Drosophila melanogaster: one gene and its partner. The protein of the gene in region 2 interacts with the protein of the main gene of each other region in a pairwise test. Each region holds a gene or a part of one and is shown on either strand. Other genes may lie near its edges.

The links.
Region 1: the proteins of bb8 (region 2) and CG18404 interact in a two-hybrid assay, tested with the Drosophila melanogaster proteins (one large-scale study listed by BioGRID).

What each region holds. Positions count from the first base shown.
Region 1 is NT_033777.3:30,251,416-30,254,607, forward strand, and holds CG18404 (uncharacterized protein), read left to right. Parts: upstream 1-1,766; 5' UTR 1,767-1,776; coding exon 1,777-2,010; intron 2,011-2,069; coding exon 2,070-2,177; intron 2,178-2,244; coding exon 2,245-2,304; intron 2,305-2,363; coding exon 2,364-2,396; intron 2,397-2,457; coding exon 2,458-2,544; intron 2,545-2,607; coding exon 2,608-2,628; 3' UTR 2,629-2,682; downstream 2,683-3,192. Other genes in the region: CG9682 (uncharacterized protein), read left to right, coding at 2-139, 201-263, 342-1,337.
Region 2 is NT_033777.3:23,287,683-23,292,145, forward strand, and holds bb8 (big bubble 8), read right to left. Parts: upstream 2,508-4,463; 5' UTR 2,417-2,507; coding exon 2,035-2,416; intron 1,978-2,034; coding exon 1,385-1,977; intron 1,325-1,384; coding exon 917-1,324; intron 856-916; coding exon 631-855; 3' UTR 535-630; downstream 1-534. Other genes in the region: wam (wampa), read right to left, coding at 1-210; pnt (pointed), read right to left, coding at 3,683-3,746, 3,814-3,971, 4,035-4,463.

The DNA of each region.
Region 1 (3,192 bases), 7.0 Mb from region 2:
GGAAAATGCCTCCTCCGGTTGGGAACTTGGAATGGATGGCAGCATTTTTGGTCACGAATTGGGAGATGAGGGCAATTTGTTGGGACAGGAGGTTTCCAATAGCGCTATTAACTTTGGACATCAAGTGTCCCAGGAAGCGGTAAGTTAAACAAGAACAGAAGCAATTTAAAATTCTTCAAATATTTTTCAATTCTTTGTAGGAAGAGGCAGCCAGTGCAGAACTCAAAGCCATGGCAAGCCAATCTGCCAATCAATCCAGTAAGGTATGTACATATATCTTTTACAATGATAAATATGTAGGTGCATATTCCACAATCGAATGTTACTTTTGTTCTTCGCAGAAATCTGTCAGTAAGCGTGATTTAACAAGTAGCAACGAGAATCCTTCGGTTACCTGTGCTTGCACCTGTTCCACCGATGGCGCTGCTTCCAAAGTGGGAAATAAGGTAGCAGAGTCGGCCGGAAAGGCAGCTCATGATGTAGCCGGCGGTGCTGGAAATGTGGCCTCGAGTGTTGCTGGTGCTGCTGGCACTATTGCCCACGATGCTGCAGGTGCTGCATCTAGTGTTGCAAGTGATGCTGGACACATTTTCCACGACGCCGGCAAGGTTGGAGGTGACATTGGAAATGCTGCTGGAAATGTCGCTGGAAGTGCAGCAAATGCTGCTGGAAATGTGGCCTCGAGTGTTGCTGGTGCTGCTGGCACTATTGCCCACGATGCTGCAGGTGCTGCATCTAGTGTTGCAAGTGATGCTGGACACATTTTCCACGACGCCGGCAAGGTTGGAGGTGATATTGGAAGTGCTGCTGGAAATGTCGCTGGAGATGCATCAAATGCTGCTGGAGATGTTGCGCATGATGCTGCAAATGCTGCTGGAAGTGTCGCTGGAAGTGCGGCAAATGCTGCTGGAGATGTTGCAAATGCCGCTGGAAATGTAGCTGGGGATGCAGCAAATGCTGCTGGAGATGTTGCGCATGCAGCTGGAAATGCGGCCGGAGATGTTGCAAATGCCGCCGGAAATGTTGCTGGAAATGCATCAAATGCTGCTGGAGATGTTGCAAGTGCTGCTGGAAATGTTGCTGGAAGTGTTGCTAATGCTGCTGGAAATGTAGCTGGAGATGCAGCAAATGCTGCTGGTGATGTTGCAAATGCCGCTGGAAATGTCGCTGGAGATGTTGCAAATGCCGCTGGAAATGTCGCTGGAGATGTTGCAAATGCTGCTGGAAATGTCGCTGGAGATGTTGCAAATGCCGCTGGAAACGTAGCTGGAGATGTAGCTAATGCTGCTGGAAATGTTGCACATGATGCAAGCAACATTTTCCATTCCATATTTTAGAGTTTCTCTCTACTTTTCTACTCATTTGTCCTAATAAATGAACGAGCAAATTAATGACCCATACACTTGTCATACTTTAAGCACTAAATCTCTAGAAAATCCATTTACATTTCTGTTTTGACTTCTGAACGCTTGCAGTCGATTTATTTTTAGCTTTCTGTGACTAGGACCTACTTGAGACTGTCGTTTATAGATTAAATCACTTTATAGATACCGTAAGGAAAACCCTGAAACTAAATCAAATGAGCCATCAATCAGAATCGAAACTTACCGCCAAACAGTTGGGAATCAAGAAACACTCATGTGTGATTCGTTATTATTGGCGGCGTCAAAGAAGTCGTTAACTCCCACATAAGCCAAACGATAAGAATTGCCTATAAATGTAGTGTTGCTAATAGAAGGGACTCAGTAATTCTCTGATATTACGAAAAGCAATAACATGCAGTCTTTTACAATTCTAACCCTTTTCACCATCGTTTTGATGGTCCAAAATTCAAGAGCTGGAACTCTCAGCATTGGGTCCCTGATGGGAGATGTGTCCCAAGTGGCTGTTGCTGGGGAGAAGGTCATCCATCAACTGGAAAACGCTGTGGCCAGCTCTCAATCGGATTTTGTCCAGCCAACCACTTTGAACATTCTAAGCGACATGGGAAACGCCTTGGGTGATCTGGCTGTATTCTACTGTATTTATATTTGTTTGATGTTTACCTAAAATATTTAATATTCTTGCAGAACGCCCTTACTAGTTTAAGAGTGGATAACGATTATATGCAACCCGAGGCCACCAATCTCTTGGGCAATGTTCTGGGTGGAGTGGGCACTGGTCTTGGAGATTTGGCTGTAAGTAACAGATCTGGAAAGTCCGTTGGAAACTTCCAAGAATAAGCTCATTCTTTTCTGCTCATAGAATGCCATTACCAGTCTTAGTGTTCAGATGACGAACGCACCTCAGGCTCGCAGTCTTTCGGTATGTGAAGTTTTAAAACTTATAATATTGAATTAATAAAATATTCTACATTTTTTTAGTCCAATGGTGCTTCTATTATAGCCAAAGGAGGAGTAAGCTTCGACGAATCTCATGATTTCCATATGAGTTATACTAATTAAACTTGATTTGCAGGCCGTGAGTGCGAAGACTATTGCCGCTGCTGCAGATGCAGCTGCCCCTTATATAAAGCAGCTAAATGCTGGCCTAGGCGATCTGGCTGTAAGTGGTCCTTAAGAACAATTGTTAATCTGATGTGTAACGAATTGTAATACCCCCTCACAGAATGCCCTCACCAACCTCTGAAGAACTTTGGAGCAGTTCAATTAACAAATAAATATTCAATCGCGCAAAGAGCTTAGTGAGTGCGTCTTTTGTGCTCCCATTTTGGGCAGAGTTCATCAACAAGTTGGGCATCAATTAGTGTTGGGTTGTTTTGAAATCCAAGAAGAGTAAACAAGGTCGGATTCCAGAATCAGAAATGCGTGCATCTGCTTCTAGCTCGATCTCCAAAGGGGGTTATATACTCGTATTCAGAATGGAAGAGGGGTCAAATGATACGAGGTGAATCGAAGTCGGAACACGTGATTGCCAACAACATTAGGGGCTCAAGTTTCCAAAAAAAAAAAAAAATGGAATAAAATCCATCAGTAGAAGGAGGAAGCGCCATGCACACATGCCGGTTTTTGAATAATTTTTATTATGACAAGTATTTAGGTTGCCTTTGTTCCTCGAACAGAAGCGAATTAGGTCATCTCGAGGGGAATGGGAATCATACGGAATATGGTGGTACCCCAACTCCGGAAGACCCTGCTCCCTGCTCCTCGAGGCCTGCTATTAAGTCACTTTATCGAGCGGCAAATGTCTGTT
Region 2 (4,463 bases):
CACCCAGATCTGGGCACGCAGATCGTTTTTCTCCTCCTCCAGCTGATCGATGGCCGTCTCAAAGCTGGCCTCGATGATGGTCTCCTTGCGGGTCTTGAGTTTGCTGGACAGGATCTTCTTGTACTCGCGCTGTCGCTTGCCCAATTCCTTGTGCTTCAGCAGGTAGCTTTCCAGGAAGGCAAGCTTGTCAAACTTCTTGATTTCCTCCATGGTGAATGCTTTCTTCAGTAGCTAACCCAAAACGGAGTTCCACCTTATAAAAGTGGAGACTTTAGTAACGAAAATCAAGCAGAATATTCGTGTTTGTATGCTTGCTTTCGTAGTGTTTAAAAAGTTGCAATATGTTTGTCTAATCACTAAACTCTAAACTCTCTGTCTAAACTCTAAATAAGATATGAATTGTATGTCAAGGCGTATGTGGCGTATATTTCATACTTAAATAGATAAATATTTAACTAGATTCATACCAAGTGTATCAAAGCCCAATATTTATGCCAATATAGGTTGTAAGTTGATTTAAATTAGGCATATTTTATGTTTTAATTAAATAGTAACTCTTTTATTCAACTTAAGAATTAAAAATTAACCAATGAAAAACTGTGAATTTCTTTTGTTCTTGAGGGTAAACCACTACTGTTGGGAAATTCCGGAGCTTTCCATGGCTTGGAAAATTTTGAATGAAGACCAAACGTAGGCGGCCCTCCGCAGATCGTTACACAATTCAAATTTGTGGGCCATCTCCTTGATGCCACGTGCTGCAGATTCCATAACTGTTTGGAGAGCCGAGTCCACGATATCCGCCTCTGTGGTGCATTGTTGTATCCTCTTAAGTTTCTTATTGGGACATATGTTCGGCTAAAGGAGAAAAGTAAGGGATTTACTATACTATACTACTTAAGGGTAAGGATGGACATACTAGTTGACTATCGGGGCATTCATGCAAAGACTCATTGATGGAGTTCATCAGTTCGATAATAAGCTCGGATGTAGATTTAGAGTTCATTTTGCCATATGACACGTGGTTAATGTTTTTGAGGTACTCAAAGTAGGATACTGTTACGCCGCCCGCATTGCAATAGAGATCGGGAACTAGGAGGACACCCTTATCCAATAGGATTTTCTCGCCAGATGGTGTGGTCGGCCCGTTGGCGCCTTCCAGGATCAGCTTGGCCTTGATGTCTTTGGCATTGTCGGTGGTTATCACTTTTTGGGTGGCACACGGCATAAGGATATCGGTTTCGGCTACCAACAAGTCCTCCTTAGACTCCTGAGCTTTTGGATATCCTTTAATAGTCTTCTTTTCCTCAGTGTATTCAAAAAGATCCTATAACGTAATGGGTTTTTTTTTCATAAAATTACCTAGAAAATGTGAAGAGCCACTTACATTAATATCTATGCCGTCCTTATTAACCAGAGAAACATCAAACTCTTTTATTCCGATGACTTTGGCGCCCGCCTCGTGCACATACTTAGCGGCAAAGGAGCCCACATTGCCAAATCCCTGCACTATGACCGTCTTGTCCTTCCATCCCGTCTTCCACTTGAGCAGATCCATCCATTCCTTATCCTTCAGAAAGAGATCGCCCGCCTTCCAAACGCCTCTGCCCGTGGCCGAATGTCGACCATTAATGCCGCCGTTGTGTACGGGCTTCCCGGTGACAATAGCCGATGAATTGATATCCTTGTAGCCAAATGTCTTCTGGTACTGATCAACAATCCAGCTCATCTCACGCGGACCAGTGTTCACATCGGGCGCCGGTACATCGATGCCGGGACCAATCATATTACGCTTGAGCAACTCCATCGTGTATCGCCGTGTGATCGTCTGCAGCTCATCCACTGTATACTTCTTGGGATCGATACAAATGCCGCCCTTAGATCCACCATAAGGTACATTCACGCAAGCGCACTTGAACGTCATAATGGCGGCAAGGGCTTTAACTTCGCTCTCGTTCACGTCCAGAGCGTATCGGATTCCTGTAGGAGATCCGATGCTTAAGAATACGCCTATAGATGAGATAAAACCACACTTACCGCCCTTGAGAGGCAATCGATGGCGTACATGATGCGAACGATAACCGCTGATGATCTCGTAGGTGCCGTTTTTGCGGACAATGGGAAAATTAACCTCCACCGAGGTGGAGACGCTCCCAAGCAGATTCAGTATAGCGGTGACACGAGCCTGACGCTCCTCCGGCTTCATATGCGGATACTTTTCCATTTCCTTGAGCAATGCAGGCTCCATAGTCTGCGCGGCCTTGTGATAATAATAAAGAACCATTTCCGAGAATTCCGGGTCCTTGTCCGTCTCAACTTTTTTCAGCTTCTCGGGCACCTGGTGTGCGGAACGTTTTAATACTTGCCTTGGCATAAGTGGGTAAATCCCATTCAAAATCCGTGCCGTATAACGAAGCATTTTGAAAAAACACAACCGTCTATAAAGTTAATTCGAATTTGGAACAAAATCAACTGATAAGAGAAATACTTGATATTTTGACCACCTTGATATATTTTCCAAAGAGAACTAAGATTTCGTTTGTATTTTTTTCATATTGGCTTTCTTTTATTGTTTTTATCTTAGCAATGTTAATTTTAGCTTTAATATTACGATGTACGCTTGTATAAATACAATATTTTAGAATTGCTCTACAAATGTATGTGTATCTATGTAATCAATATAACGTTATATTTATGGGTGTAATACGTGGCTATGCATCTACGAGCTAGACTTAAGTAGTTAATAGCTATACACACACATACTAGGTAATAAACACTTCTTGAACTGTCGATTAACGCACTAGGGAAACTATGGATCCTATGTATCTAGGATTAGCCTATAAGTATACAGATAGCAGACGATAACAAGGGCTCATCATATATGTACATACATGATAAGCTATTGTGCCGTTTTACGTTTAAAACTTTTGGGATCGCACGGAAGCGCACAGAAGTACAGAAATAAAAGGGGCTTTTTGTGGAGTGGAAAACTTAGTTGTACCAGTAGCACAGATTACAATTTAGACATACATAAATACTAGAGACCTACTTATATGCCATTCACATCTTCAACGCTATATACATGCATGATTTTGAAATGTTTGTGGTGCCCCGTGCGGGTAAAATGATTATGTACGTATAACAAAATGTTGCGCTCTAATATCACTTTTGGGGGACACATGCTTTATGGCCTCTATCAACGTTCGATCCTTGCAGCTGACATCTTCTACAGACTATGTGAGAACGAAGAAATATCATCGCATTGCACACAGAATTTCAAATTTAATTCGGTTTATCTTCAACTGGTTCTCTTGCTATAGATCGGCTTACAACTAAATCTGATGTATTTTAAATTAATTTCAAATTAATTTAAAAGTCTAATTTTTACACGGTAATTACAAGCAAATCGGTTTGACAGGTTGGTGGGTGGGGGGTTTTCTTTTTGTTTGTGTTTTTTGTGTGTGTGGGGGGGGGGGGAGTCAGGACTTTGGGTACTTAGGGGTTGGCCAACACTTTAATCTCGTTGCAAGATCGCAGATCGGGGGTAGCTGCTTAAAAGCTAACATCACGCTTGGTAAACAATAACGCTCGAAAGTATTTTGCGGTTGGTTGAGTACAATCCGTGGCTGGGCGCAGATCTCCTGGAGCTGTTCCCGTTTTAGGCAGCTTCTCCGCTGCTCCGCTGCTAATCCACATCTTTTTTCTCAATCTTAAGATCATACTTGGCCACCAGCTCCTCGGGTGTGTGCCTGTAAATGAAATTAATTGCTTTTAATAAGAATTCGATAATTCGTCTTCAATCTGTCGACTACTTACCCAACTAGATTCTGGAGATCACAGACAAAGCGGTAGACATATCGTTTGCCTGCCGTCTTGTGGATGATGTTTTTGTCATAATAGTAGCGCAGACCGCGACTCAGCTTCTCGTAGTTCATCTTCGGTTTGTTTTTGCGAATTCCCCAACGACGAGCCACCTGATCAAAATAGATATATGTTAGTTAGGAATTCAATAATAGTTATATTACAAATGGATTTACCTCATCAGGATCTGTTAGCTTGAACTCCCAGCCATCGCCGGTCCACGAAATGAAACTCTGACACGTCTTGTCCAGCAGCAATTCGAGCAGGAATTGCCACAGTTGAATGGGACCCGATCCCGTGAAGCACGGCACTCCGCCCTGCGTCGTATAGCCACCCAGCAGGCCCTTATCCAGACCCAAGGTGCTCATATACGCTGCCGGATGCTGGTGGGCATGGGCTGCTCCCCACTGATCCATGGCCGTGGGCTGGGGGCCCATCGACTGGAAGGATTGAGCATCATAGGGCGTAAATTCCGGTGGATAACCATCGTGGAATCGATTCCTGCCCGCGTAACTGCCATAGAACTCCGAGCTGCTGTCCAAGTAACCGTTGCTGTTTCCGGTGCTTCCACCGCTGGCTCCTCCACTGCCATTTCCTCCACTCGA